Daphnia pulex: one gene and its partner. The protein of the gene in region 1 purifies or fractionates together with the protein of each later gene. This does not show direct contact. Links are inferred from orthologs where the notes say so. Each region holds a gene or a part of one and is shown on either strand. Other genes may lie near its edges.

Region 1 (3,124 bases):
ATCACCGATCGAAAGTTTCTGAAAGAAAAAAAAATACTCTTATCATTGGGTCGAGGCACAGCCAAGAACGGGAAAACATTTTGTCCCATATTTTATACAGGATGTCAACCGTCCATATAAAGCGTCGTCGATACCTACTGTCTCGGTCGTTTTCAAGTTCTTTACTCTTTTGAGCAATTGTTACACTTCAGTTTGCGCGGTAGATGGGTTCACATTCCTTCAAGTGTTGAATAGAATCTGTAAATATTCCAGTGAACTCAATCGCAATAGTTTAAACAAATACTTTACCTTCGTTGGACTAAATAAAATGCTTCGACGGTAATTTACACTTAGATTAGTTGTTGCAATACAATTGAAGATAGAAACTTAAATACCGTATCGTATGGGAGTATTTAGGTAAAATATTAGGTGCTGGATTGATATTCCTAGACTGCATTGAATTATTAGTCGTCAAATAAATGGATTAAAGCTTTGGACCGGTAATCGACTTAAAAAGATTGCAAACCATTTGAAAATCACTTGTTTTATTCCTTCAAGGAACAGTCAAGAAAAAATTGTGCAGCATACGCAAAACGTTTTTATTGATTCTCATGTCGGATAACGCGTCACTCGTCCATAGCATCGTCATTTTCGATACTGTCTCGCTTCCGTTTCCAAGTGCTTTGCTCCCTTGAGCACTGACCATTGTTTGTTACACTCCAGTTTGCTTTGTAGATAGGTTCATATTCCTTTAACTGTTGAACAAATCCTATTAAGAGAGTTTGAGCTATGTGAGACTATTATTCTAATGAACTGAGATGCAACAATTTAAAAAAATACCTACCTTCATTGGGATTAATGCAAAACCTTCTCTGTTGCACTAAACTGAAAGCCTCTCTGTAAATAAATAAAAAAATTAGATCAGAGCTTGAAAAGAATGTCATGCTTTACTGCTTATATATGAATGAATGTTGAGAAATATACCTGTAGTCAAGGCAGTATTTTTGCATAAGAAAGCCCAGAACAATGGCAGCACTTCGAGATATGCCAGCATTACCGTGAATAAGAGCTTTGCCTCCTGCAGAAAAACAGCTATCCAAGAAAGTTTTAACTTTTTGGAAGTGCTGAATGATATTTTCTGTGACTGAATCTTTCACGTTGACAACCAGGTATCTGAGGAAAAAGTGCAATACAAATAAGTCCATACAATTTGTTCCTTGTTTGGAATAATTTAATTTACTGGAATTTATCAACAAAATGTGTTTTGATCATGTGAGATTCAATGTCTTGTCTAACACAAACGATATGAGTGATTCCGTGAGTCTCAAGATAGTTCTCCTGGGGTTTAAAAAAATAAGAAGGTAATGTTGTTATACTTATTACATTGGCTAATGCAAGAATAAAAGATCTATGCAAACCATATACTTTGGATCGAACTGCAACCGAGTAGGGCCCAAGGAACAATCCTTTGACAATTTCTTGCATTTCCCTTCTCATCGAATATGTCCAATCGTTAGGTTCTTGGAAATCAGCCGTTATCGACGAGGCCGAAAGTATGTCGTGACTATTTGTCTGAACTTCCATTGAGGCGACTATTAAGACTATTAAGAATAAAAAGAAAAACTGTAAACACTAAGCCTGCGTTTTGAAACGAAAACTTTTTGTTTTTTTTTCACTCTGCTGTCTGATAATCGATGTTTAAGAGAATCGATTTTTCCAAGCAGACTAGAAATTTTCTTTTTGGCGGTTCGAGAGTCGAGTTCAACCTTTTATTGGCGGTTCAAGTTCAATACGTTGTTTCTTGTTTATAAATAGACGTCTGGCATGTGTCAGACAGCTTCCCTTTAAAGACGGGAAGATTTTGTCACTCGTCTCAGACCCGTTTCTTTGCTTGAGCCGTTTCGACACGATTACTCAGTTCTCTAAATTGTAAGTATTTTTTTCGATTGTTCCGAGGCAAACCAATTTCTTTATAACGAAAAAGTAAAGTTATTTTGCTTGTTAGATTGCCAGTTGCCCAGTTCGTAACAATAACAAGAATGTCGAATGGAAAGTCTTTAAAAATTACGGCTGAGGACAAAGACGGAGTTCGCACAAGATCTACTGTTATTCGATCGGAAAATTTCGGTCACGGATCAAAAGTTTCCATATCCAGTGAAGAGAAAAGACAGATGGGAGCAGGCAGAGGCAGTGATGTTAGTCATGTCTTTGCTAACATGCTTGGAGGATCGGGAAAAGACAAAGATAATCTTTTCCTATCATCCCCAAATTTCAACAGAGGTGCTTACAAAGAAAATGAATTTGAAACCAGGAAATTCATTAGAACTACCGAAAAGTATCACCCAGGAAAACAAGTAGAAGCTCACACAAAGGTCACCATACACCCCAGCAGCAATTCGGGAGCCGATCCTCGCATGAAGTATGATGTCACCTCGCACATTGACGGCAAAGAAGGGCCAAGTTACACTACGTTTTTTAATTTTTTTGGCAAGAAATGAGGTCAACTGCGATGGGGATTTTCAATCGAAGATCATATATATTCAATTATTCAAATAAAAAGTTCGCTACTTTAAATTTTTTAAAGTTATCTTACACCGCTTTTTGATCAAAATTTTTTCTAATACAATTCTTTTCACTGCTTTAGTCATTTGTTTTGTATTTTCTTATTCTACAATTTTTTACTTTTTGCGTCAAATAAAAGAGTAAAAATTACAGAGAGAAAGGCAGAAAGGGCGTTTTTCAGTTAATCGATATTTAAGAAATGAATCGATTTGCCCAAGCAGACTACGTAAAAACTTTTTGTTTTTCTTTTGTGAGTTGGTGACCCTCTCTCCTAGGTTCCACATCCACACCCTTTTTCTTATTTGTCTAGGCTGTTCTACAGCATTTTATGTAAATTTCAAGGCCACTTTTAATTTTACTTACCACTTAAAGATGAAAAGATATTCCGATAACATGAGTCCTGGTCGTTGGAAACGAATCTGTCCACCTGCCCACGATTCCGATAGTGATAGCAGCTCATCAGACTCTGACGGAAACATAAATTCTTGTAAGAATTATTTTGTAAAAAACTCTTTGGTGATTTTTAAATATAGTTTATCCTTAATCAATTAAAAGGGTAATGTTAAAAATCAAATATTTTCTC
Region 2 (4,142 bases), on another chromosome or scaffold:
CCCGTCTCAACATCCCATACACGTAACGTTGCATCCCGTGACCCGCTCACCACCCTACATTCATTTTTGATCAAGGAAAACAGTTGAATTAGTAAGAGTGCTTGCTACAAATATCTGATAAAAAGACTGACTTATTTCCGTGTAAATGCATGCAACGGACAGTGGAGGTGTGGCCGTATAATGTGTGCAAACACTGTCCAGACTCAGCGTTCCAGACTTTTAAGGTTCTGTCTGTACTCCCGCTGACTATAATATTTCCCTGCATTTGAGAGGACCAAACGCCTCCCGTATGTCCCTGCAGAGTCCTCATGCACTGTTGAGTGAAATGACAATTAAATGGTTGTCTGTTCTTAAGACATTTCGCGTTTTTAAAGTCTTTGTCCTGTCTAGGCAGAAAGCCCAATGAATTACCTTTCCCGTAGTAGCCGACCAGACTTTGAGCGTGTTGTCATCCGATCCCGAAACGATGCGGTTTCCGCAAAACTGTAAGCAGGTGATGACGTGATCGTCATGACCTTTCAATACCCTTGGCTGTGGGATCGGCCTCACTCGCCAATTCAACTCAATATTTCGGTGACGCATATAAGTCGCCTGAAAATGCAACGAATCAATATTATCTTGCAACCTATTAACGTTTAAGCCAGATTGATCTATTCACCTTCCAGGGTGACGGAGTAATAATTGGTGCATTGTTTTGGCTAGATCCGGTGGGGGAAGAAAGACCACAACTGAGAGATGAGTGGTGGGAAGATCCGCGAAGACGTCGCTTATTTAGAGTATCACGAACGTCATCGATACCCGCTTCACGACATTTTTCTCGCCAGAGGAGATTATCTTCAGCCAAGACTCTCCAACAACGGCAGGTTTGTGCGGCGCGAGTCAAGTCGCGAGGCGTGAGGAAACTGAGAACATACAGAGCCAGTTCTTTGGGCAGCAGCGATATGAAATCGCGTTGGAACTGTGGTTCAATAACAGCCATCATGTGACGGACCTGAGTGGGTTCACACAGCTCTATCAGTTGGTCAATGGCACATAAACGCTCAGCGTTCGACCAGTACTGCAATGATAACAAATGGTTTTTCTTAGCAATGAGTTAGTGGTTGAGAGAATGACGAAAAATACTTGGAACGTGTGAAGCCACTGGCAAAATCCTGGCGGAGGATTGTCTTTCGAGGGAATCGGATTACGGTGAACATGGCAGTAGATTGACGAGGAAGATGAATCAACACCTTCACCCCTTCGACATGTTTTTTTCTCCGTGGCTACTTCAGCTGCCATCTCAGCTGTCGACTCCGACTTGCGCTTGGTCTACAACACACCACCTTAATTAAATTCATGTTCTTAATAACAAATAAGTGTTGGATAAACTTACAGCTCCTGGTCTGGCGACGTCATCATTCTCCGAGGTGGGTGATTCCTCTTTAACGGATACATTGCTGGCGTCGTTGGCAGGAGCAGTAGGTGTCGATGATGTAGGTGTTGTGGGGAGAGGAGGAGGCGATTGAATGATGCTATCGTTGCTCCGAGTCTGTCGAAGCGAAGGCGATTTGCCAACGGGCAGTGGATTTATTCTGCTTGTTGACCGGCGCTGCCTCAAACGGCAAGCACCCCATTCGTTGCTGCTGCTACTTCCACTGTCGTTTTGCTGGTCTTCTGTCGCGTTATCACTTGAACTAGATATCACTGGTGTGGTGCTCGGAGTCGGTTGAGCGCTTGTATTATCACTGCTTCTAGGGCAACAACAAAACATGTTTAGAATCAAATGACGCATTTTTGCCTAATCCAAAGAACAAAGGCTTAGATAAGAGTAACAATAAAGAAATATACCTACACTAATAGCAAAACCATGAGAAGGGGGTATAAATTTAGTATTGTATAACACTATTTACCTGCTCCGAGTGTTGGCTTTTCTTGCATTCACCTGAGACGACTGAGCTGGTACTGATATTGTTAGTATCTGACGATTGGCTTCAATCAAATTTGTCCCCACACCTGGAGCCAGACTTAGATCTTCGATGGATGTAAATCCTCCAAGGGACTACAAAGGAAAAACACATGTCAAAACCATATAAAACACACTGGTGTTGGGTTAATCCTAAACTTACATTTCTGGTTTCCACAATGGCTTCAGCTCTGCTGCGTCCAACTCCAACCAAGGTGGAAAGCTCTTCAACAGTAGCCACATTGATGTCTACCAGGTTTCTCTGAGCTAGACTTTCATTAGCAGTGTCGCCCATGCCCCTCCCACTACTCCGTCCTCTGGACGCTGGCATAAATTATTTCTGCTGGGTTTCTGACTGCTACGTAAGCTAGAGATTGAGAAGCTGAGCTATTACTAGGAAACCAAAACACAGCTGCCTAGACAACAACTCATATCCTCAATTAAACACTAGTCATCTCATCTGCCAAGAAAGAAGATTCAATGTTGTTAATAAAGGTTTCTTTTTATAACAATAATGAAACAAAGCAAGAATGATTCACACTTACCGTCGATAAAAATCCAGTGAAAAGTGCAGCGAAAATTATAATGGCGTTACGAGTCAAAAAGTGCAATCAAAATAAAAGTAGAATCTTTTTAATGATATGGGCGAGGGCTTGATAGTGTGTAGTGTTTTGGGAACAAGGGCAGACCTTTAAAATGCGATTTTGAAAATATTCCGCAAGCACGGGTGGGCAAAAACAACTTAATCAAATAAAGGATTTAAAATAGAAAAAATCTAGCACTAAAATGATTCGGGCATTTCGATTTCACAAAGAGCGTAAATATAGAAAAAAATTTGTACACGAGGATCAGCATCAAAGAGAATTTTGTTTCACACGAATGGTGAAGCCGAGACAGACAACGATATATGCTGGACTAAAAAGCGTTGCCAAATTGCTTGTTAACATTTCCCAGTTGCTGGACGCGCCCTGTGGTCGTCATCACATGCGCTTTTTTCTTTATTTCGCTTAGAATCTCGTAGCAAAACCCACTTGACACGTTTACAGTGTTACTATCGAATTTATAGTGGTAATTATTATCCTTTTTTAAACAACAAAGCTAGGCGGTTTTTTAAAGGCCAATACGTGGGCCTACCTCATTTCATCTTTCCCGCCTTTCTTTGTACATACATCCCCCACCCTTAATAATATTTTTGTATTGCATTACTATCAAAGAGTATTATATCATATTTTTTTTTAAGTTTCTAACTGTTCAGTTCTTGAAACTTCAACGGATCATCATCGCTATTCATCGTTCCCCCTCCTGAAATGTCCCCCTTGAATCTCTTCATACCATCAGCCCTTTACAGATCCAACTGAATTAAAGCCACAATTTCAATAACAATGGAAGTTTTGGTGCAAATTGTTTCTCAAGCATTTCAACTCTGTTGAAAACGTTACTGCGTAATGTTGAGTTCTAGTTCTCTCATACGGTTGGACGAAAGTTGAACCCGATTCAACCAATAGCCAGTTAAGTATTCATCCAACTAAATTGTGTATCTATATTTTTGTACACATTATAGCAGCTACGCAGTGTTAAAGGGCGCCCGAATCTTGCTTTTTCTAGCTATCGCTAGATGACTCGCGATGAATTATAAACGTTCGATATAAGAAATTCAAACTGCTACTTACGCGATATCTCGCAGGTTTTTTAAAAGTTGAAGGTTCGTCCTCATTAATAATATAATTGTAACAAATTTTCGTTTTTCTCTGATTGTTACAATATTCAATTCCGTTTATTGCCCCATGACATTCAAAATTTCTCGGATTCGGAGTGATAGCTGCTACCGTATTAGCATTAACTTTTCAAAAAGATCATTAGTAAGCGCAGCACAAAACATTCGGTGATCTTGTGTTGAATGTTGAATTCGCTCTTTCATCGGGCATTATCGTCGCTTCCCCAGTCATGAAAATAGGTCGCTCATTGAATTGCCAAGAAACTTTGATGCACATTTTGTGTGGGCATTGAGAAATCTATATATTTTTTAATAAACCAGCAATTGGTCTTTGACCGGTTCATTTAAGTGCAGAAGCACCGGATTGAAGAGGTGTGAGGTTAGGCGCGCCTATTTAAACAATGGAGTCGTCGTTGCAGCTAACGAACATACGTTGCGTCATTTGATAGTGTTCGATTGTGAATGACGAACGAGACCAACATGCGC

The links. The genes of interacting proteins can lie anywhere in the genome.
Region 2: the proteins of serine/threonine/tyrosine-interacting protein B-like (region 1) and F-box/WD repeat-containing protein 7-like purify together in Homo sapiens (affinity purification with western blotting; 4 studies listed by BioGRID and IntAct, with this or other methods). This does not show direct contact. The link is inferred for Daphnia pulex from reciprocal best matches to the Homo sapiens genes STYX and FBXW7.

The regions. Positions count from the first base shown.
Region 1 is NC_060024.1:13,317,702-13,320,825, reverse strand, and holds serine/threonine/tyrosine-interacting protein B-like, read right to left. Parts: upstream 1,687-3,124; 5' UTR 1,564-1,686; coding exon 1,405-1,563; intron 1,318-1,404; coding exon 1,220-1,317; intron 1,153-1,219; coding exon 964-1,152; intron 877-963; coding exon 824-876; intron 749-823; coding exon 606-748; 3' UTR 508-605; downstream 1-507. Other genes in the region: E3 ubiquitin-protein ligase siah-1-like, read left to right, coding at 2,914-3,028. UniProt on the Homo sapiens protein: Catalytically inactive phosphatase. Acts as a nuclear anchor for MAPK1/MAPK3 (ERK1/ERK2). Modulates cell-fate decisions and cell migration by spatiotemporal regulation of MAPK1/MAPK3 (ERK1/ERK2).
Region 2 is NC_060019.1:12,536,019-12,540,160, reverse strand, and holds the start of F-box/WD repeat-containing protein 7-like, read right to left. Parts: upstream 2,866-4,142; 5' UTR 2,488-2,865; intron 2,403-2,487; 5' UTR 2,274-2,402; coding exon 2,106-2,273; intron 2,039-2,105; coding exon 1,890-2,038; intron 1,731-1,889; coding exon 1,373-1,730; intron 1,309-1,372; coding exon 1,123-1,308; intron 1,058-1,122; coding exon 659-1,057; intron 592-658; coding exon 412-591; intron 314-411; coding exon 132-313; intron 55-131; coding exon 1-54. UniProt on the Homo sapiens protein: Substrate recognition component of a SCF (SKP1-CUL1-F-box protein) E3 ubiquitin-protein ligase complex which mediates the ubiquitination and subsequent proteasomal degradation of target proteins.